Linked DNA regions of Callithrix jacchus. The protein of the gene in region 1 interacts with the protein of each later gene in a pairwise test. Links are inferred from orthologs where the notes say so. Each region holds a gene or a part of one and is shown on either strand. Other genes may lie near its edges.

What was found.
Region 2: the proteins of TRIM27 (region 1) and FBF1 interact in binary tests that used the Homo sapiens proteins (3 or more experiments, as listed by UniProt). The two-hybrid records come from large-scale screens. The link is inferred for Callithrix jacchus from reciprocal best matches to the Homo sapiens genes TRIM27 and FBF1.

The regions. Positions count from the first base shown.
Region 1 is NC_133505.1:2,067,692-2,078,581, reverse strand, and holds the start of TRIM27 (zinc finger protein RFP), read right to left. Parts: upstream 7,246-10,890; 5' UTR 6,961-7,245; coding exon 6,514-6,960; intron 5,018-6,513; coding exon 4,922-5,017; exon of another isoform or gene 378-4,921; coding exon 147-377; intron 1-146. UniProt on the Homo sapiens protein: E3 ubiquitin-protein ligase that mediates ubiquitination of various substrates and thereby plays a role in diffent processes including proliferation, innate immunity, apoptosis, immune response or autophagy.
Region 2 is NC_133506.1:131,808,109-131,818,898, reverse strand, and holds part of FBF1 (fas-binding factor 1), read left to right. Parts: intron 1-853; coding exon 854-1,309; intron 1,310-2,344; coding exon 2,345-2,461; intron 2,462-2,910; coding exon 2,911-2,999; intron 3,000-3,167; coding exon 3,168-3,226; intron 3,227-3,976; coding exon 3,977-4,132; intron 4,133-4,306; coding exon 4,307-4,407; intron 4,408-4,540; coding exon 4,541-4,747; intron 4,748-6,137; coding exon 6,138-6,245; intron 6,246-6,335; coding exon 6,336-6,475; intron 6,476-6,552; coding exon 6,553-6,671; intron 6,672-10,790. UniProt on the Homo sapiens protein: Keratin-binding protein required for epithelial cell polarization. Involved in apical junction complex (AJC) assembly via its interaction with PARD3. Required for ciliogenesis.

The DNA of each region.
Region 1 (10,890 bases):
CCGGGGTGCACAATGCAGAGTGTGGCAAACTCTTGCTATTCCCGAGAGCTAATAGGAAGACAGGGGATCCTGGATACTACTTGGCAAAGGAAGAAGGGAGGCTACTTTCAGTGGATGCTGCTCTGGCAGAGCTCCGTAAGCCTTACCTGCAGGAGCTCCCTGGTGGGCTGCTGCTGCTTCTCTTCCAGCTGAGCGATCAGGCCACTGAGGTGGGAGATGTTGCAGGAGAACTGGGTGATGGCACCATTAATGCTATTGTAGATGGCCAAGTCCAGCTCCTCAAGGCGGGCCAGGAGGCGATACTCGTGCTCCTTTAAGGAGTGATACAGTTGCTCAAACTCCCAAACAATCTTCTCCCTTTCCATCTGGGTTAGGCTCTGTGCAGACCACAGGAAAAGGCAGTAAAGAGAAACATGGCTCATTTCTGGGGCCTTCACATTTCTCCCCTGGTCGCCCACCCCAAGACCTCATCATGGATGAAACAAGCACAGTGTACCTGAATTGAACCTTAGAAAGACTGAAACAAACAAACAAACAAACAAAAGAAACAAGCACAGTGCTAACTCATTCTTGCCACTCTTTACTGACTGGATGTGTAATGGCCAGGAACTGAGTTACCCCAGTGACTATTAAGACAAAATCTGCCGGGCGCGGTGGCTCAAGCCTGTAGTCCCAGCACTTTGGGAGGCTGAGGCGGGTGGATCACGAGGTCAAGAGATCGAGACCATCCTGGTCAACATGGTGAAACCCCGTCTCTACTAAAAATACAAAAAATTAGCTGGGCATGGTGGCGCGTGCCTGTAATCCTGGCTACTCAGGAGGCTGAGTCAGGAGAATTGCCTGAACCCAGGAGGCGGAGGTTGCGGTGAGCCGAGATCGCGCCACTGCACTCCAGCCTGGGTAACAAGAGCGAAACTCCGTCTCAAAAAATAAAGGACAAAATCCCTATTCTCAAATAACTCAGAGAAGTGAGTCAGGTTCATGTGATACATGTAGTCATGGTAAGGTAATTAAAGATAGGGTGACAGCCTGCAATGAAAGAAACTGGTACCGTCTTCATGGAAGCAATTTCAGTGTTTACGGGATGAACGAGAGCCCACCATACAGGCAACACGCAGGAAGCCTTTCCAGGCAGAAGAAATGGCACAGGCAAAATCACAGGGCAACAAAGCAAATGGTGCTCTCTGGCTGAAGCACACGAGTGTTGAGGGAAAAGGTCAGAAAAACTGAGACCTTGTCACACCTTGCCTGGCAGCCTCTATTGCAATTGGGAGGCATGAAATATTGTCACATGGGAAAGGGACAGGGTCACATATGTGCCCTACGGAGGACGGAACAACCAAGCGCAGCTTCCTTGCCCGATTGCCCTTCACATATACTCCATATCCTCTACCTGTCGTTCACGGGTGTTCACCAAACGCTGTCTCTAGCTTCGGGTGGGAGAGAGGTGGCTTCCCTATGGTTTCCTCTTGGTGCTCATTTGTTTGCCATAACTTACTGTCTGTCTTTCTTCAGCCGCCCCCACCACCATCAAGTCTCTATTAAAAAGTTTTGTTCTAAACAAGGAGCCAAGAACAAGCTCCAAAGAAATCACGTGAAGTTGTACTGGACATAGCCACGCCCTGCATTTATGCACTGACAATGGCTGCTTTTGAGCTGAGCTACAACAGAGCTAATCAGCTGCGGGGGAGGCCACATAGCCTACAAAGCTAGAAACATTCACTACCTGACCCTTTTTAGAAAAGTTGGCAACGTCTGTTCTAAACCCAGCTTCTCCCAAGAGCCTTCCCCCACTGACCGTCCCTCTAGTCACCCGGATTAGACACGCACTATGCACAAGTCTGTTTATAAATCCTTTTCAAACGTTATACTTCATGCGAGTTGGGTAATTCTTTCAAACGCATAAACTATACAAAATACGACGCACAGTCGGACCGGCTGCTGAGATGAACGCTACATTGGGGCAGTCTCTGCTTAACATGGGGAGATAGACGCTGCTGCCTTTAATAGGCCTGGGTCCTCGCAGCTCCAAAAAGAAACAGGATCTCAATAAGCTCTATGAGCTGAAGTCCAAAGCTTGGCAGATTATGAACCAGTTTGGCCCCTCAGCCCTAATCAACCTCTCTAATTTCTCATCCATAAAACTGGAACCAGCCAGCACCCCTACACAAGGCTCCATGGCCAATAGTACTACAGAGGTAAAGATACCAGGCACTCCTGGGACAGGAAGTTAGCCCTGAAAACAATCAGGTATTGACCAAGAAGAAACTGCAGGCCTTAGTAAGAGAAGTGGATCCTAATGAGCAGTTGGATGAAGATGAGGAGGAGACGCTGCTGCAGATTGCTGATGATTTTATCGAGAGTGCGGTGACGGCCGCCTGTCAGCTAGCACGGCGTTGCAAGTCCAGCACTCTGGAGGTGAAAGACGCCCAGCTACATTCAGAGCGCCAGCGGAACACGTGCATCCCAGGATTTGGCTCTGAAGAAATCCGACCCTACAAAAAAGCTTGCACCACGGAAGCTCACAAACGGAGAATGGCATTGATCCGGAAAACAACACACAGAAAGGTCAGGGAATGGACAACAATGTATTTGGAGATACTTGAGCTGAGAACTCAGCCATCTCATCCATGGATTTTTTTTTTTTAATGCTTTACAGAGAAGCATATGTTTTTTATTAACAGTGCAGCAATATCTATAATGACTTATCTATATCTATAATGCCAAAATCTATAGTATCTATAATGCCAAAAGAATAAGGCCTTCTACCCCAACTTCCGGTCCCTTTTCCCTGCCATCTCAAAGCGGAGCAGTGTATCTTCCAGAGAAGACTTTATTTGTGTTTCATTATATAAGTGACTGAATATGGGACAAAGCATTACGGTCTTTTTGGGTGAGACAGTATTAGTAGGATTTGTCAAGGGTTCCGTTTCCTTCTCCTTTCCCCTTTTCCCTGTACTTCGTAATGTCAGTGTTTATGTGAACACGACTTTCATTTGCTTTTCCAGAACAAAGAAGTTATTCATCAAAAAAAAAAAAACAAACACCTATACAAAATAATCTTAGAAACAAAAAAGGCTGAAACAATCCTTAAATAGCAACTATTTCAGTGTTTCTCAAAGTGGGTGCTACTGGTACCTTGGCAGGACAATCCTGCCTGGCATGGGACTGTTTCTTGCACTGTAAGACACTTAGGGTTCCTGCCCCGACCTCTCCAATCGCTCAAGTCTTCTGAAAACAGCCAAAGAAATACCCACACACCATTGCAGAGGACAGAAAGGCAGGACTAGCCTTACGAATCTAGTCTAAACTACTCATTTCACAGATGAGTAACTGAGGTCCAGAGAGGCTGTATGACTCCATCTTTGCAACCGAGCCTAGAAGCATGTCCAGGTGCCCAGATGCTCTGAGAAGGGCTTTTCTCCCCTTTGATAATCCTCCCTCAGAGGATACCATCACGTGGACAATGACCTGGGTCCACTCAGGCTCACTGAGAAGATTCTCCGTCCATCAGACTTATTTTCAAGGAGAGCTGAAGTCTCAGTGCACTGTGTGGGCAGAGCAAGTGGTGGGATCTCAGGACTCCATGGGAATGAGTTCCTCGTCTAAGAGTTCTTTACTGCGCCCTGCCTGGAATGACAGAAGGATGCTGGACTCTACTAGTCTGGGACTTTACTTTTCAGACAGAAATATCTCTACTCAATGGAGATTCGTCACGTTTTATGTGTTGTTCAAAAACATTTTTTTTTTTGAGACAAAGTTTCACTCTTGTTACCCAGGCTGGAGTGCAATGGCGCGATCTCGGCTCACCACAACCTCCGCCTCCTGGGTTCAGGCAATTCTCCTGACTCAGCCTCCTGAGTAGCTGGGACTACAGGCACGTGCCACCATGCCCAGCTAATTTTTTGTATTTTTAGTAGAGACGGGGTTTCACCTTGTTGACCAGGATGGTCTCGATCTCTCAACCTTGTGATCCACCCGCCTCGGCCTCCCAAAGTGCTGGGATTACAGGCGTGAGCCACCGCGCCCGGCTCAAAAAACATTTTTAAACACCTAGGTGGTATTTTTAAATGTTACAAAAATGCATTTTACAAATGTCTCTGTACTTTTTGTTTGTTTTTTCTTTTCAAAACAAAATTCCTGGCTGGGTCCAGTGGCTCACACCTGTAAACCCACTTTGGGAGGCTGAGTCAGGTGGATCACTTCAGGTTAGGAGTTCAAGACCAGCCTGGTCAACATGGTGGAACCCCATCTCTATTAGAAATACAAAAATTAGCTGGGTGTGTTGGTGCACACCTGTAGCCCCTGCTCCCTGGGAGGCTGAGGTGGGAGAATTGCTTGAACTGGGAGGCAGAGGTTGCAGTGAGCCGAAACCTTGCCATTGCACTGGTGACAGTGTGAGGCCCTGTCTCAAAAAAAAAAAAAAAAAAAAAAAAAAAAAAAAATCCTAAATACCTCTATCATGAATTAACACATCAGCCACTTGTCAAGGCCTTGAGGCTGGAAGAAGAGAACAGAGTAAAAACTCCACAATCAAGGCACTGTCAAGGAGAATAACCCAGAGAGAAGCAACAGTGGGCCTTATACAGGACGTCTGCAGAATGGTAACAAAGGGAGCTGACTGTACCCAATAAAGTTATCTATGTCAGTTTTGCCAAGAATCAACCGTGGTCTATGCAGTTAGCAGGTTAAGCTTTATTGACAGGTCTGGTTTCCAGGGGTTCCAAACTAGGCTCCTCCATCCTTTCCCCAAAAGTAAGGGAATCTCTCAGTTCTCAGGGTGAGATCCCCCGCCATGTGCGGTTGATCCACCTCTACCTACAAGTTCTGGATGACTTGCTGGAGAAGTTTAAGGGAAGTAACAGCTCTACAGAAGAGGGGAGCACCAGCAGAAGCGACTGTGAATTCGGACAACCCTTACCAAGAGTTCGGCTCGTGCCTGTTCCCCCTGGGCCCGACGTCTCTTCTTTAAATCTTTCACTCTTTTAAGGTGGTCCAGCTGGTTCTGAATCTGCTCCTGAGAAAAGCAAAACAGATGGCAGTTCAAAATTAAGTAGACCTTAGCATCAGCATGGTCATCGAGACGGAATCTCACTCTGTCATCCAGGCTGGAGTGCAGTGGCGCAATCTCAGCTCACTGCAACCTCCACCTCAAAGGTTCAAGCGATTCTCCTGCCTCAGCCTCCCGAGTAGCTGGGACTACAGGCACGTGCCACCATACCCAGCTAATATCTGTACTTTGAGTACAGATGGTTTCCCCAAGTCTGTCAGGCAAGTCTCAAATTCCCGATCTTGTGATCTGTCTGCCTCAGCCTCCCAAAGTGCTGGGATTACAGGTGTGAGCCACCTCACCCAATAGCATGGTCATTCTTATCACAGATGGAGTCCACACACCTGATGCCAAGTCCTGTCTGGTCCTGTCCTCAGGCCACAGTGCCACCCACAAGATTAAGACCCAGGGCACAGGGGCCATCAAGCCTCGCCTCTGGCATTTTGTGTCTATCTAAGCAGCCTGTGGCTTCAACCACTCAGCTACTGCGTCAGGACTATTTGTGTCTATCTTAAACAATGAGTCATCTACCTGTCCCTGGTCGGATATTGCATGACTTAGCGGAAATGTGACTGGAGCAGGAGGCTGAGAGTTGTGTGGTACTGGAGCTTTTCCTCACAGGCATACTGCGAAGGTGACTTATTTTCCTCAGGTGTGACATGGGCAAACACCATCTTCCCAACCTGCTCAAGATGTATCACCAGTGAGTGAAATAATATAGCTGAAAGGTCCATTAATGTTAAGGGATTACACATGAATGTACTCCCATTAAACAGGGACATAATTGTGTATGCATTACTGAAGCCCTCAAGATACAAATAATTGTGTCATGGACTCCTTGAAGGGCGCCTTACAAGTGTTTTATTTGGAACACTTTGTCTGCACGTTACTGTTTGTTTAGCTGTGCCGGTTAGCAGAGGGCTCTGAGCGTCCTGTGATTCCACGTTCTTCCTCATGACTGTGTTATCTCCTGGGTCCTAGAGTAGTTAAACGACTTACTCAAGCACCAAAGAGCTGTTATTTTCCGTGAGCTTCTAGAGCCGGGCAGACTGAACGAAAGTGCTAGAGAAAATGCTTCTACACTAAGGAATGGCCGTGAGTCAGTGAACGTCTGAGCGCGTTTTGTTGCGAGCCGGTGGGAGCGGAGCGTGTCCCCAGCTTGCGGATGTGCGCGGGTTGTATGCGCTTCTTTCATTCTGTCAAAAGGTCTCCGTGTACAACGCGCCCGCGAGGCAGGAAACTCGGGGGCACACGGAGCGAGGAGAGTGGGGGTGGGGGGACTTGTGGCTTCTTCGCCAGCCACAGGTTTTCCTCCAGATCCGAGCGCGGAGGCTCCGGGGCGCACGGGGAGGAAATGACGGCTGCGAACCAGCCCCACGTCCGGCTCAGCCATTTTCTGGGCGGAAAAGGGACGCCCCGGGCTCTCCCCCTCCCTTTGTCCGCCGCCCGCCCCGCCAGCTCACCTTGAAGCCCTCCACGGCCTCCTCGAGCGGCAGCACGCTGTGTCCGCGGTGCTCGCGGGAGCGGTCGCACACCACGCAGATGGGCGTCTGGTCCTGCTCGCAGTACAGCTTCAGCGGCTCGCGGTGCTTCTCGCACGCGCCCATCTCCCCGCCCGGGCCCACCGGCCGCTCGGAGCGCAGCTGCTTCACCAGCTGGGTGACGTTGGCCAGGTGGCGGTTGGGCCGCAGGTGCCGCTGCGGGAAGGTCTCCCGGCACTGCGGGCACGACACGTTGGTCTCCGCCGCGCCCCAGCAGCGCGCCAGGCACGCGCCGCAGATGTTGTGTCCGCAGTCGAGCATCATGGGCTCGGAGAAGTACTGCAGGCACACGGGGCAGGTGGTCTCCTGCTGCAGGCACTCGGCCACGCTCGCGGACGCCATGGCGGGGCCTGCGGGGCGCACGGGCATGGGCCCCGACCGAGCTCCGCGCCGCGCCCAACTCTCCCGCGCTCTCCGGTCGCCGTTCCCGGGAGGCGCGGGGCGGGCGGAGGGCGGCGCCTCCCGGGCCCGGATCCAGACGCGCCCGCGCCGCGAAGACTCGAGGTGGCCGCGCCGCTCCCCGCGCCGGGGCCCCCGATGAAGGCGCGAACACGCTCCGGGGCAGGGCCGGGTCGCCGAGGGGCAGAAGCCCAGGGGCAGGCGCGCAAGACAACGTGGCCGCGTCCGAAGCGGGTCCCGGCGGCCGCGCAGACCCCACCCCGGCGCGAGCGGAAGAGGCGGCTCGGCGGGCGGGGCTTGGCCCGCGCTCCCAGTGAGAGGCTAGATTTCGTGGCCTCGGGGCCTGGGATTTTCTTCTCGGAAAGGCCGAGGAGGCTCTGCCGCGGTCCCTGGCCCGGTCGCGCCGAAGCTCCAGCCTAGGGGTCGGGGCCCGAGAGCCGGCGCTGTCTCCGGGCGCGGCGCCGACCGGGTCTCCTGGCCACGCGCTCCGGGCCTATAGGCTTCCGCGGCTGCCGGGCCGGGCCCCGAGTCTTTGTTCGGTTTCCTTTTGGTGCCTGGGTCCCAGCCCTGCAGAAGAAAGCAGGCTTTGTGTGGATGCCGAGGAACGAACGGAGACATCTGGCCTCCCCCGGAGTCTGGAGGATGAGGGTTGCGGACTAGCCCACCTGAGACGTGGGGCCTTTTATTAAGCAGCCCCATTTGTAGGCACCTGCAGTTTCGTTTAGATATCAGACGGTAACGTTTCTGTGTTGCAATAACAAGCCCAGTTCTGCTACTTCTCTCCTGTGCTCAGGCAAGTTGGTTTACCATTCATTTACCTCAGTTTCTCCCGTGTGAAATGGGGATAATTGTACCGCAGTAAGAAGTACATTTCCTTACATCTTTTACTTTTTGTACCATAGGGTTGTTTATCCATTAAAATAGTAATAAAATGCCCACTACATAGGGTTGTTGTGCTGAGTAGCAACTACAAATTGCTTGCTCCTTTCTGAGGCATCGACCCAGGGTCTTGGAGGCCGCAGACCGCCAGCATTTTTTTTTTTTTTGAGACGGAGTTTCGCTCTTGTTACCCAGGCTGGAGTGCAATGGCGCGATCTCGGCTCACCGCAACCTCCGCCTCCTGGGTTCAGGCAATTCTCCTGCCTCAGCCTCCTGAGTAGCTGGGATTACAGGCACGCGCCACCATGCCCAGCTAATTTTTGTGTTTTTAGTAGAGACGGGGTTTCACCATGTTGACCAGGATGGTCTCGATTTCTTGACCTCGTGATCCACCCGCCTCGGCCTCCCAAAGTGCTGGGATTATGGGCGTGAGCCACCGCGCCCGGCCCCCGCCAGCATTTTTATGTTACGTTCTTATCCCTTACTGGCGTTTCCTAGTTTTCTTTGAAATTTTTCTCAAAATTATCCTGCTGTCTGAGCAAGACAGGCTTCTGCTTCCAGATGATCACTTTATTTTTATTTTTTCAAAGTGAAAGTAAGTTTATTATTATTATTATTATTATTTTTGAGACAGAGTTTCACTTGTTACCCAGACTGGAGTGCAATGGCACGATCTCGGCTCACTGCAACCTCCGCCTTCTGGGTTCAAGCAATTCTTCTGCCTTAGCTTCCCGAGTAGCTGGGACTACAGGCGCGCACCACCATGCCCAGCTAATTTTTATATTTTTAGTAGAAAGGGGGTTTCACCATGTTGACCAGGATGGTCTCGATCTCTTGACCTCGTGATCCACCCGCTTCGGCCTCCCAAAGTGCTGGGATTATAGGCGTGAGCCATCGCGCCCGGCCTATTATTATTCTTTTAAAGTAAGTTTATTTTTTAAGAAAGTAAGGTAACAAAGAATGGCTACCCCGTAGGCGGAGCGGCCCACATCATCGCTTTAGAGAGGTCTACACTCTGCTTCTCTTCCGCAGGGGACAGAAAGTCTGAGGGCCTCAGTGGACTTGCCAACCACAAACCCACATCCACCTTCTCAACCATACTCTGGGTATCTGGTCGTTCAGATTTCAGTCCCAAATAGCCCTAACCCATTTCCAGAATGATGCAGTGTACCTGGCCCAGGCCACACCACAGCCTGGTCTTGGTGTGAGATTGGGTCAACATTGAAATTTGTAAGAATTAGAGAATAAGTACGTCAGTTCTGATTTACTCCAAAAAGGACTAGTAAGCATTGCAACACACGCCGAAATATGAGAGATACAGATAGGCAGATAAAGCTGCCCTTTAGCTGCCTCCTGATTTGGGGGATACAAGTCTAGAGTTTGGCTTTGTTGTTAAGAATTGTTTTTATCCTACCAACCCTTTATGACCTCTGGAGACAGGTGACCTGGGGTAAAGAAACGTAGAACAGGTAGGGTGTGGTGGTTTATGCCTGTAATCCCAGCGCTTTGGGAGGCTGAGGTGGGCGGGAGTTTGAGACCAGCCTGACCAACATGGTGAAACCCTGTCTTTACCAAAAATATACAAACCAGCCGAGCGCAATGGTGCACACCTGTAATCTCAACTATGGAGGCTAACCTGGAGAATCAGTTGAGCCCAGGAGGCAGAGGTTGCAGTGAGCTGAGATTGAGCCACTGCACTCCAGCCTGGGTGACAAATCAAGACTCCACCTCAAGAAAAGAGAAAAAGAGGGGGGGGTGCGGTGGCTCACGCCTATAATCCCAGCACTTTGGGAGGCCGAGGGGGGTGGATCACAAGGTCAAGAGGCAGGAGAATTGCTAGAACGTGGGAGGCGGAGATTGCAGTGAGCTGAGATGGAGCCACTGCACTACAGCCTGGGTGACAGAGCAAGACTCTGTCTCAAAAAAAAAAAAAGAAAAAGAGGTAGTGTGAGGATCCTTGTGATGGAATAGTTCTGTGTCTTGACTGTAGTGTTGTTCCTGTGTATTTACATATGCAATAAAATTGTGTAGAACTAAACACACACAAACACGTGAATTTATGTAAAAATGGTGAAATCTGAATAAGATTGGTAAATTTTAACGATGATAATTTGCTGGTGTGACACTGTACTGTATTTATGCAAGATGTTGTCATTGGGAGGAACTGGTTGAAGGGTATGCTGGATCTTTATTTTTATTTTAGTTTTTTGGAAACAGAGTCTTGCTCTGTCACCCAGGCTGGAGCGGTGACGCCATCTTGGCTCACTGCAACCTCCGCCTTCTGAGTGCAAGCAATTATCATGCCTCAACCTCCCAAGTAGCTGGGATTACAGGCATGTGCCACCATGCCCGGCTAATTTTTGTATTTTTAGTAGAGATGGGGTTTTGCCATGTTAGTCAGGCTGATCTCGAACTCCTGACCTCAAGAAATCTTCTGGCCTCAGCCTCCCAAAGTGCAAGGAATACAGGAGTGAGCCACTGCACCTGGCCACTAGATCTTTAGTAACTGTACCTGAATCTACAATTATGTCAAAATAAGTTTTAAAAATATGCATTCACAACATCAATTACTTCTTTTTCCAGGTAGCAAAGCTCTGTATTTTGCTCTTGATTGGACTAATGCCTGTGGACAGAGAAAGTCATGTGCCGACTGGCTTAGGTTTAGTTTTACTACCTATTCCTGAACCGATTACTGTGGCAAGGTAACTGAGATCATGCCCATGGTGTATGCATCAAGACCTATTCTTGAAGTCAAAACTCTGAAACCTCATGGGTACTGTGGAGTGAAGTGAAGAGTGGAATGGAGTGGAGTGTGGAGTGGAGTGGAGTGTGGAGAGGAGTGGAGTGTGGAGTGGAGTGCGGAGTGGAGTGTGGAGTGGAAAGGAGAATGGAGTGTGGAGTGGAGGGTGGAGTAGAATCGAGTGTGTGGAGGGTGGAGTGGAATGGAGTGTGGAGTGTAATGGAGAGTGGAGTGTGGAGTGGAGTATGGAGTGGAATGGAGAGGAGTGTGGAGTGGAGTGT
Region 2 (10,790 bases), on another chromosome or scaffold:
GGAGTCTCTCTCTGTCGCCAGGCTGGAGTACGGTGGCACCATCTCAGCTCACTGCAACCTCTGCCTCCTGGGTTCGAGCAATTCTCCTGCCTCAGCCTCCTAAGTAGCTGGGATTACAGGTGCCCATCACCATGCCCAGCTAATTTTTGTATCTTTAGTAGAGATGGGATTTCACCATGTTGGCCAGGCTGGTCTCAATCTCCTGACCTTGTGATCCGCCTGCCTCAGCCTCCCAATGTGCTGGGATTACAGGCATGAGCCACTGTGCCCAGCCGTTTATTATTTTTAGACAGAGTCTCACTCTGTCGCCGAGGTTGGAGTGCGGTGGCATGATCTCAGTTTCCTGCAACTTCTGCCTCCCAGGTTCAAGCAATTCTCATGCTTCAGCCTCCCAAGTACCTGGGATTACAGATGCCCGCCACTATGCCTGGCTAATTTTTTTGTGTTTTTAGTAGAGATGGGGTTTTACCATGTTGGCCAGGCTAGTCTAAAACTCCTGGCCTTAAGCAGTCTGCCCACTTTGGCCTCCCAAAGAGCTGGGATTACAGGCATGAGCCACCACACGCGGCCCGATTTTTCTTTAGACCTGTATGCCTGCGGCTGTCATTTGATCCTGTTCTCTGTGGGTAGAACTGTCCCTAGTTCATGTGATGGAAGTCAAGGTCTCTATACTTCTTGGTGTTCTATAGACAGCACAGGGTCTGCCACCTAAGCCAGTCTAGAAGCCACTGCTCACTGGGCCTCAGCTGACTGTGCAGGGTCCCTGGGCATCGTGACGCCCAGCCACAGGCTGCTAGGGGGCCACTAGGACTGACTGCTTCCCCTCCCTGACATTCTCCTTTCTGTCTTGAAGTAGGTTCTTAGCAGACAGTGGCCCAGACCTCAAGGGAGAACCAGGCTCCAGACAGAGCCCTCCAGCCACTTCCAGCCCCATCCAGCCCAGGAAGGGAGGAGCTGACTGGCTGGGCCTCAAGGACGATGACTTGGACCTGCTCCCTGCCTCACCCACCAGAGAGGCATGTCGGGAAAGCTCAGCACTTGCCATGCCCTTAGTGCCTCCTCCTGAGAGCAAGCACTCTGCACCAGCTGGGCTGCCCCTCTCCAAGGCAAAGCCACCAACCGAAGGTGCAGGGTCCCCTGCCAAAGCCAGCCAGGATTCCAAGCTGCAAGCCTCCGAGAAGGAGGAAGAAGACTGGCTGAGCCATGCCCTGTCTCGGAAGAAGTCCCAAGGCCTGGCCAGAGAGCAGGGTGCTGGGGCCTCTGAGGGCCTGAGTTTTGCAGGGACAGTGGGCCATCCCCCTTCTGACAGGTACGGGCTTGGGCTGCTATGGCTTGTAGGGGGACTTGAGGGGCCCCTTTGCCCCTCACCTGTTGCAGCCTCAGTTGGGAACAAGGCAGCGCGCCGTGGGCACAGAGGCCGTTTCTTGGCTTTGCTACTCTGCCTTTTGGGCACTGCAGAGAGAGCCTCTGGCTCCCTGGCTTGCCCCAGGGACAGACCCAACAGGTCGGGGGAGCTGTTGACATTTGTGCCCTGATTGCCATGGGGACAGGTGCTAACTTGATTGGGCAGAACAGAGGATACCTGAGGTGGCAGACACACCACTGTCCTGCCTCTGAGCAGTGCCCTGCCACAGCGTCCTCAGGCTGGCAGCCTCAGCGTCCAAACCACTGGTGCTTCTGCCAGCTCCACTGAAGTAAATATGGCGTGTGTGAGCTGAGATGTCCCTGTGCTCTTTGAGAGCGTTAGAGGAGACACAGTGGTCCAGAGGCACCTCCTGGAGAAGCCACAGAAGGGCAAGCCGTGGGACAGGACAGTGAGCGACCTCTGAGGGCAGGAAGGCACAAGGGCCAGCAGGCTGGGGGAAATTATGAGCAGCAATGTGGCCCAAGCCCAGGGAAGTGAACTGGGCAATTTGTGACAGCCCAGGAACATCACCCAGTCCTGGGATTGATGTCAGGAGGGCACTTTTGACATTCACCTGAGACTGAGGGGAAAGCTGAGGCCAAAACAGAAGAGAGCCTGTGTCTTCACTGACCCATGAGCTGAGAAAGAGGTAGAAATAACAGGAAAGGGAGCCAGCCAGACTTGGGAGACTGAGCAGAGCCTTACTCTAGAGCTGAGCCAAGTTAAATGGGCTGGAACAGGGATGCTGAGGCAGGAAGGGGGTACTTGAAGGGAAGAGATGCCCACAGATCCCAGGAGCTCAGACTTGGGAGGAGAACAACCCAAGACGGGATGGTGGGAGCAAGAGAAAGGGCAGCCATGAGCTTCATGTGTGAAGCCTGTCCTGGGCCCCATCTTCATCCAGCCTGACCTGGGCTTTCTGTCACCTTCACCTTGAAGGCTGCCTTTTCTCAGCCAACCTCTCACCAGCATGCCAGGACTTGAGCAGGCAGCTGCTGGAGGAAGCTCTGGAACAACCGCCGGAGAAAGACCGTGTGCCAGGCCTGGCGTCTCGGGGTAGGCCCGGGCTGCAGACTGAGCAGAGTGAGGGCACAGTGGGTAGCACTCCGTCCTTAGAGAGGGACAGCAGACAACCATGTGGAGACCCAATACAATTAACCGTGGTGTTCAACCCCTGCTCCAGGCACGCTGGTGGAAGAGCTTTCTGAAGTGCAGGGGACTCTGTCCTCTGCCTACCACCAGCACAACTGAGACTCCTTAGTCAGCTGTCAGTTGAACCCGAAGTTTTCCTTTACTCCTGGTGCCAACCCCCGTCTCCGTGTCCCACACAGGCTACTCTCCTTGCCCTGTCTCCGAATCCCACAGAGGCTGCTCACCCTCCCCCGTCCCAATCTCCCACACAGAGCTAGTTACTTTGTCCTGTCCCATACAGAGGCTGTTTGCCTTGCCCCATCCCCATATCCCACATAGAGGCTGCTCACCTTGCCCCGTCCCTGTGCCCTCAGGTCCCCTGTGACTCAGAAACATGCTGCCTCGGCACTCCCTGCAGGCTCCCCAAAGCGGGGAGCAGCCCCTGGAGACATCTCGGCCACGGGTTTGTTTGTTGTTTTCTGCTTTATTTGGGAGTTTAACCTGGGCAAAGAAGAGGTGCTTTGAGCTTCCTTTGGGGTCCCTGGGACATGAGTGACACCAGCCTCTCCTGGATACTTGCAGCCCACAGCCCTGGGCCACCCTGCTCATTTCCCTGCTGCTGATGTTTCAGAGCCTGCCATGTGTTTCCCGAGCACCCAGGAGCCCACAGAGCCTTCTGTGCCCGTCCAGGTAGGGGTGCATGCACAGAGGCAACACCAACACTTTGACCTGATGACCTGCCAGGAAAAATATGTCAGACATACCAAATGTGGTGTCGGCCACCTCCCCTGGCACCTCTCACCAGCACTTGCCTGAACTTCTAGCCTCACTGCTCCCAGGCAGAGTTGGGTGTTAATTTCCCTACATCAATGGGAATTCGAAGAGGTAGCCAGGCTGGGGAGCTGGGAATGCTGCTGTCAGAAAGCAGGGCTGCAGGGACCTCTTCTGTCTAGAAAGCCGCCTCCACCCCTGCCATTCTCCTGCCACACCTCTGCCTCTGTTTCCATGTGTGGCAGTCACCTGTGACACCTGAGCATGGGAGGTGTGGCCCCCAGGAGTGTGTCCCTGGGAGATGGTGGGTAGAGGGCAGCTTGTGGAAACCAGATTAGTGTTAACATGTGGGCTTCAGGGCTAACAGGAAAAGCCAGCGTCAGCATTTGTCAGCGGAGACTCAGCTGGGGCTCAGCCCCAGTCTGGGAAGCCGGAGATCATGCTGGGGAGGAAGCTCTTTTGAGGGGTGGAGGGAGACGCATGCTCCTGACCGGACCTGCAAGGGGAAGTACACTGGGGACTGCTCAGCCACAGTGACTGTGACTCTCCAAGGCCTTGGCCCTATCTGCAGCCACAGATCAGGTCCAGTGAGCAGAGATCCAGGAGGTAGCTGATCCCAGCTGGGTCCGTCCCTCCCTAACCAAGAACACCTCTCATCCTCTCCTACAGCCCCTGCTCCCAGAGTCCCTGGCCCTGAGCCTGCTGCCAGGCACAGAATACCAGAAGCAGCTCCTGGCAGCACAGGTGAAGCTTCAGAGCAGCACCGCAGAGCTCCAGGCTGCGCTGCTGCAGAGCCAAGCCCGGCTGGCAGAGCTGGAGGCCCAGGTGAGTGGCAGCGGGGTTGCTGGCATTGGGGGCAAAGTTGTGACGGGAGGGGTCACCGAGAGACTGAGAGTATCGGGAAGCATCCCCAGGAGGAAGGAGGGGCTGTTGGCACAGGGCAGCGTAGAGCACAGCCACCTCCCCTCCCTAATCGCTGGCCCTCCTGCCGTCTCCCAGGTGCGGAAGCTGGAGCTGGAACGGGCCCAGCGTGAGCTGCTGCTGGGGAGTCTGCAGCAGCAAAACCAGGCAGACCTGGAGCTCATCGAGAATGCACACAGGTACCCCAGCACCAGCCCCAGCTCTGCCTTGACTCTCTCGCTGACCTCAAAGGCCACCCCAGTGTGCTTGGAGAGGCCTTTAGGTGGCAGCCCTCTACCTTCCTCATGCCATGGCTGGGTGTACTGTTGGCAGAAGCCACATCAAGGTGCTAGAAATATCGTACCAGCAGCGGGAGGAGCGTCTCCGGAGAGAGAACGAGGAGCTGTCAGCTCGGTATCTGTCGCACTGCCAGGAGGCCGAGCAGGCCCGTGCTGAGCTCACCGCCCAGTACCAGCGGCGCTTGGCAGCTGCAGCACAGGAGAAGGACCAGGAAATGGAGCGGCTCCGGGAGCTGCAGCGGTGAGGCCCAGGGACAGGCAGTTGGGGATGGGCTTGCAAGGACTGGCCAGAAGGCAGCCATCCTCACGAGACCCTCTGCTGTGGCTCAGCAGCCCTTGGACAGGGATTTGAGCCCTTCCCTCCCAGCCCAATGAGTGAGGACTGAGGGCTGGGCAGACTGACCCATTACACACATGGGTGGAGTGCCACCTGCTCTTACAGAGGCAGGATGCGGTATCCACAGGCTGTCCACGCACCGCATGGCAGCAGCAAGCCCCCCAGGGCCTAACTAAGCACAGGGTAATCCACTCACCAGCTCACGCAGTAGAGGCTAGAGATGAGGTCTGCCTGGGAAAGGCTTGCACTGTTGTGCCTGCCATGTTGATAGGGTTGCCTTTATAGAAGAGAAGGAAGCTAAGAAGTTATCTAAGGGAGTCAGAGGTCTCACTCTGTCACCCAGACTGGAGCACAGTAGCACGATCTCGGCTCACTGCAAACTATGCCTCCTGGGTTAAAGCAATTCTCCTGCCTCAGCCCCCAAAGTAGCTGGGACTACAGGCGCCCACCACCATGCCTGGCTAATTTTTGTATTTTTAGGTGAGATGGGGTTTCACCATGTTGGCCAGGCTGGTCTTGAACTCCTGAGCTCATGATCTGCCCACCTCAGCCTCCCAAAGTACTGGGTTTACAGGCATGAGCTGCCACCATGCCTGACTCAGAGCTCAGGGCCAGGCACAGTGGCTCACACCTGTAATAATCAGCACTTTGGGAGGCCAAGATGGGAGGATCACTTGAGGCCAGGAGTTTGAGACCAGCCTGGGCAACACAACGAGACCTTGTATCTAAAAACAGTTTTTAAATTAGCTGGGCATGATCGTGACTTGGGAGGTTGAGGTGGAAGATACCTTGGGCCCAAGACGTCAGGCTGCAGTGAGCTTTGATTATGCCGCTGCACTCCAGCTGGGACCACAGAACAAAACCCTGTCTCTAAAAGAATTAAAAAAAAAAAAAAAAAAAAAAAACTACTTTGGGAGGCGAAGGCAGGAGGATTGCTTGAGGCTAGGAGTTCAAGACCAGCCTGGGCAATATAGCGAGATCTCATGTCTACAAAAAGGAAAAAAGAAAAGAAAGAAAGACAGCTCAGGTTGGCCAGACTCAAAAGAAGTGCACACATGGCTCTATGTAAAGTGCTCTTTGCTGAATAACTGGAGTAATCTCCATCTTAGTGCATGTAGCATTGAGGCACCATGACAGATAAGACAGAGGAGCTGGGGAAACTGAGGCAGTGCCCAGAGGAAGAGAGGCCTGGGAGCAAGGGCTGCTTCGAAGCATGCCCTTCCACAAGGAGCTGCTGTGTCTGGGTGGTCCTGCTCAGATTGGCTGTGGGCCTTCCCCTTCCACTTCCCCACAGGGCATCCATCCTGGAGATGCGCAGAGACCACGAGGAGCAGCTGCAGCGGCTGAAGCTGCTGAAAGACCGAGAGGTCGATGCGGCCACCAGCACCACCTCCCACACATGGTATGTGTGCTGCCCCAACTGTGCCCGCCTAAGGGTGGGGGCTGGGGGGTCCCGAGGCTTTCAGGAGGTGGTGACCCAGCCTCCTTTCAGGTCCCTGAATAGCATCATCCACCAGATGGAGAAGTTCTCCAGCAGCCTGCAGGAGCTGTCCTACCGCATGGAGGCCTCACATCTCACCAACTCCCAGGAGCGGGAGCTGGGGATCCGGCAGCGGGACGAGCAGCTGCGGGGTACGCCCTCCCTCTCAGACCCCCAGACCCCTGGTGGGAAGAGGAGCAGTTGCCAGCACCCTGTGGGTTGTCCCCAGCACTGCAGGAGCGGCTGGGCCAGCAGCAGCGGGACATGGAGGAGGAGCGGAGCTGGCAGCAGGAGGTCATCGGGAAGATGGAGGCGCGGCTGAGTGAGCAGAGCCAGCTGCTGGAGCAGGTGAGGCCCATCCTCCTGGCCCTCCTGCCATGGGGCCTCTCCTCCAGGGCACCCGCAGGTGTGGCGACACTCTCCTGACCTCACCTCCTCAGAGGTCAGCGCCGGGGCTTGACTCTCCTGTGGGCATCCTCCCTGCTACTTCCTGCCTCTGCGTCTCCCTGTCCCGGCCAGGCCCTCAGCATTGCCCACCTGAGCACACAGGCGCCACCTGGCCAGGCCCCCACTACGCTCTGCCTGCTCCTCACCACCGCAAGTCCCTCAGCCACCCTGGCCTTGCTCCACAGTCTAAACCCTGCAACCATCAGCTGCACTCAGAGCTGTCCCCTTACCCAAGCCCTGTGACATTCGGACAGATGCTCTTGCCTGTTAAATGTTATCCTAGCCTCTTCAGCTCTAACAGACATTTGAACTCCCTAAATACCTTTCATATATAAGCACACACTTTAATTAAATAATAATAACCTCATCCAGGCATGGTGGCCTGTGCCTGTAATCGCAGCTACTTGGGGAGCTGAGGCAGGAGGATCACTTAAGTCCAAGAATTTGAGACCAGCTTAAGCAACATAGTGAGAGCCCATCTCTTTTTTTTTTTTTTTTGAGAGAAGGAAAGAAAAGAAAAAAAAATAAGTAAAGGAGAGGAAGAGAAAGAGGGAGAGTAAATGGAAATATTGCTTTATTTTGAAAAAAATTGGGTATTAATAATGGCCAATCAATGTTTCATTTAAACTTATGGGTAGGTGTGATGTGGTATTGACAAGAATGTATATTTTGTGTATTTGAAGTGGGGAGCTCTATAAATATTTATTAAGTTTACTTGTTCTGGATCTGAGTTCGAGTCCTTGATATCCTTATTAATTTTCTGTCTCATTGAATCTAAGTCTCGTATCTGGGTGTTAGGATCGTTAGCTCTTGTTGTTGCATTGATCCTTTTACCACTTATCTTTGTTGCTTTAAAATCTATTTTATCCGATACGAGAATTGCAACTCCTGCTTTTTATTTATTTATTATTTATTTTTGCTCTCCATTTGGTTGGTAAATCTTTCTCCATTCCTTTGTTTTGAGTCTTTGTGTATCCTTGCATGTGAAACAGGTCTGGATGTAACATGCCATTGGGTTTTGGCTGTGTCTTTTGATTGGGGGATTTAGTCAATTTAAATTTAGGGTTACTGCCATTTGATGCTGACCGGCTGTTTTATCCATTCGTTGGTGTAAATTCTTCTTTATGTTGGTGCTCTTTACTTTTTGGTGTATTTTTAGAAAGGCTAATACTGGTTGTTTCTTTCTGTGTGTAATGCTTCTTTCAGAAGCTCTTGTAAAGCAGGCCTGGTGGTAATAAAATCTCTGAGTTCTTGCTTGTTCATAAAAGATTTTATTTTTCCTTCAGTTGTGAAGCTTAGTTTGGCTGGATATGAAATTCTTGGCTGAAGGTTCTGTTCTTTGAGGATGTTGAATATTGGCCCCCACTCTCTTCTGGCCTGTAGAGTTTCTGCCGAGAGATCTGCTGTAAGTCTGATAGGTTTGCCTTTGTGGGTAACCTGACCTTTCTCTCTGGCTGCCCTTAGTATTTTCTCCTTCGTTTCAACCCTGGTGAATCTAACGATTATGTGCCTTGGGGTTGCTCTTCTTGAGGAATATCTTTGTGGTGTTCTCTGTATTACCTGGGGTTGAATGTTGACCTGCTTTGCTAGTTTAGGAAAATTTTCCTGAATAATATCCTGAAGGGTATTTTCCAGCTTGGATTCATTCTCTCCGTCGCATTCAGGTACACCTATCAAACGTAAATTTGGTCTTTTCACATAGTCCCACATTTCTTGGAGACTTTGCTCATTCCTTTTTATCCTTTTTTCTCTAATCATTTCTTCACGTTTTATTTCATTAAGTTGGACTTTGACCTCTGATATCCCTTCTTCTGCTTGAACAATTCGAGTGTTTAAACCTGTGCATAACTTCTCGGAGTTCCTGTATTGTATTCTTCAGTTCCATTAATTCACTCATACTCCTCTCTAAGTTGTCTATTCTCAATAGGATTTCATCAAACCTTTTTTCAAAGTTCCTAGTTTCTTTACGTTGGGCTACAACATGTTCTTTTAACTCACCGAAGTTTGTTATTATCCATTCCTTGAAGAGTGATTCTGTCATCAGGAGGCGCTCATTCTCCATCAAGCCTCGTTCCATTGTTGATGTGGAACTGTGATCATCTTTAGAGGGAGAGGCGTTCTGACTTTGAGTATTCTCAGCTTTTTTACGCTGGTTTCTTCCCGTCATTGTAAATTTATCCTCCTCTCGTCTTTGAAATTACCAACTTTCAGATTAGGTCTCTTGAGTGGACGTCCAGGTTGTTAGTTCCCAGGGCCAGAGTAGCGGCGTTAAAACTGATGGTGCTTTTCTGCCCAGGATTATCTTGTCGGGCTTCCTTCTTGTGTCCGTAGTAGGCGACTCTGCCTTCCTGGGGCTCCAAACCTCGGGCAGAAGGGGAACCGGTCCTGTTTACTCTGCGCCGAGCGCGGGGAGCGCGGGGAGGTGCCGTCACAGCCGCTGGGCTGGGCTCTGGTGTTGTGCTGGGGGCCCGTGTGGGTCCTCCAAACCTGTTTACTCTGCTCCGAGAGCTGCGGCACCAAGGTGCTGGCGGAACCGCTGCGCCGGTCACGAAAGTCGCGCTGGCGACCCGTGTGATTCCTCCACTGGGGGATCTTCTGCTCCGCGAGCGACCAGAATTTGTCTGAAAGTGTGGCGTCCTCTAGTTCTCCGCGCCTTCCCTGAGAGCTGCAATCCCGGGATGTTAGCGATCAGCCATCTTGGATCGTTCCCCGAGATCCCATCTCTAAAAAAAATTTTATGCCAGGCGTATTGGCTCATACCTGTAATTCCTCACTTTGGGAAGCCAAGGCTGACAGATCACTTAAGGTCAGGAGTTCAAGGTCAGCCTGGCTAACATGGTGAAACCCTGTCTCTAATAAAAACACAAAAACTAATCAGGCATGGTGGCATATGCCTATAATCCCAGCTAATAGGGAAGCTGAGGGAGGAGAACCGCTTGCACCCAGGAGGCAGAGGTTGCAGTGAGTAGAAATAGCACCACTGCACTTCAGCCTGGGTGACAGAGCGAGACTCTGTCTCAAAAATAAATAAAAAATAAATAAAATTTTGTTTTAATTAGCTGTAAGTGGTGGTGCTCACCTGCAATCCCTGCCTTTGCTCACATCCCTGTCCTGACCTGCAGAAATCTTTCCAGACTGAATTCAATGGTCATGAATCTTTGGATGCTACCACCTCCATGAAGCCTTCCTTGCCCTCCCACCTATCTTCTTGTTCCCAGCTAGTAGCTGTCATCCTTTAAGGTTTTATGAAGCACTTTCTTTGTTTTCTCTGTTTTCCAGGCTGGAGTGCAGTGGTGTGGTCATAGCTCACTGCAGCCTGACCTCCTCGGCTCAAGCCATCCTCCTGCCTCAGCTTACAGCTCGACTGCAGGCACACACTACCACACCCAGCTAATGGTGTATTTTGTGTTGAGATGGGGGTCTCGCCATGTTTCCAAGGCTGGTCTTGAACTCCTGAGCTCAAGTAATCCACCCACCTAGGCCTTCCAACATTTTGAGAGTACAAATGGGAGCCACCATGGCTGGCCAAAAAAATTTTTTTAGAGATGGGCTCTCACTGTCACTCAGGCTGGAGTGCAGTGGCAAGATCTTGGCTCACTGCAGCTTGCACTCACTCCCAGGCTCAAGCAGTCTTCCCTCAGCCTCCAAATAGTTGGGATCACAGGTGCGAGCCACTAGACCTGGCTAATTTTTCGTAGAAATGGGGGTTTGCCATGTTGCCCAGGCTGATCTTAAACTCCAGAGCTCTGACAATCCGCCCACCCCACCTTGGTCTCCCAAAGTGCAGGGACTACAGGCATGAGCCACCATGCCCAGCCAAAAAAAAAAAAAAAAATTTTTTTTTTTTTTTTGAGACCAAGCCTCACTCTTTTACCCAGGCTGCAGTGCACTGGTGTGATCTTGGCTTACTGCAACATTTGCCTCCTGTGTTCAAGGGATTCTCCTGCCTCAGCCTCCTGAGTTGCTAGGATTACAGGCACCTGCCACCACATGGAGCTAATTTTTTTATTTTTAGGAGAG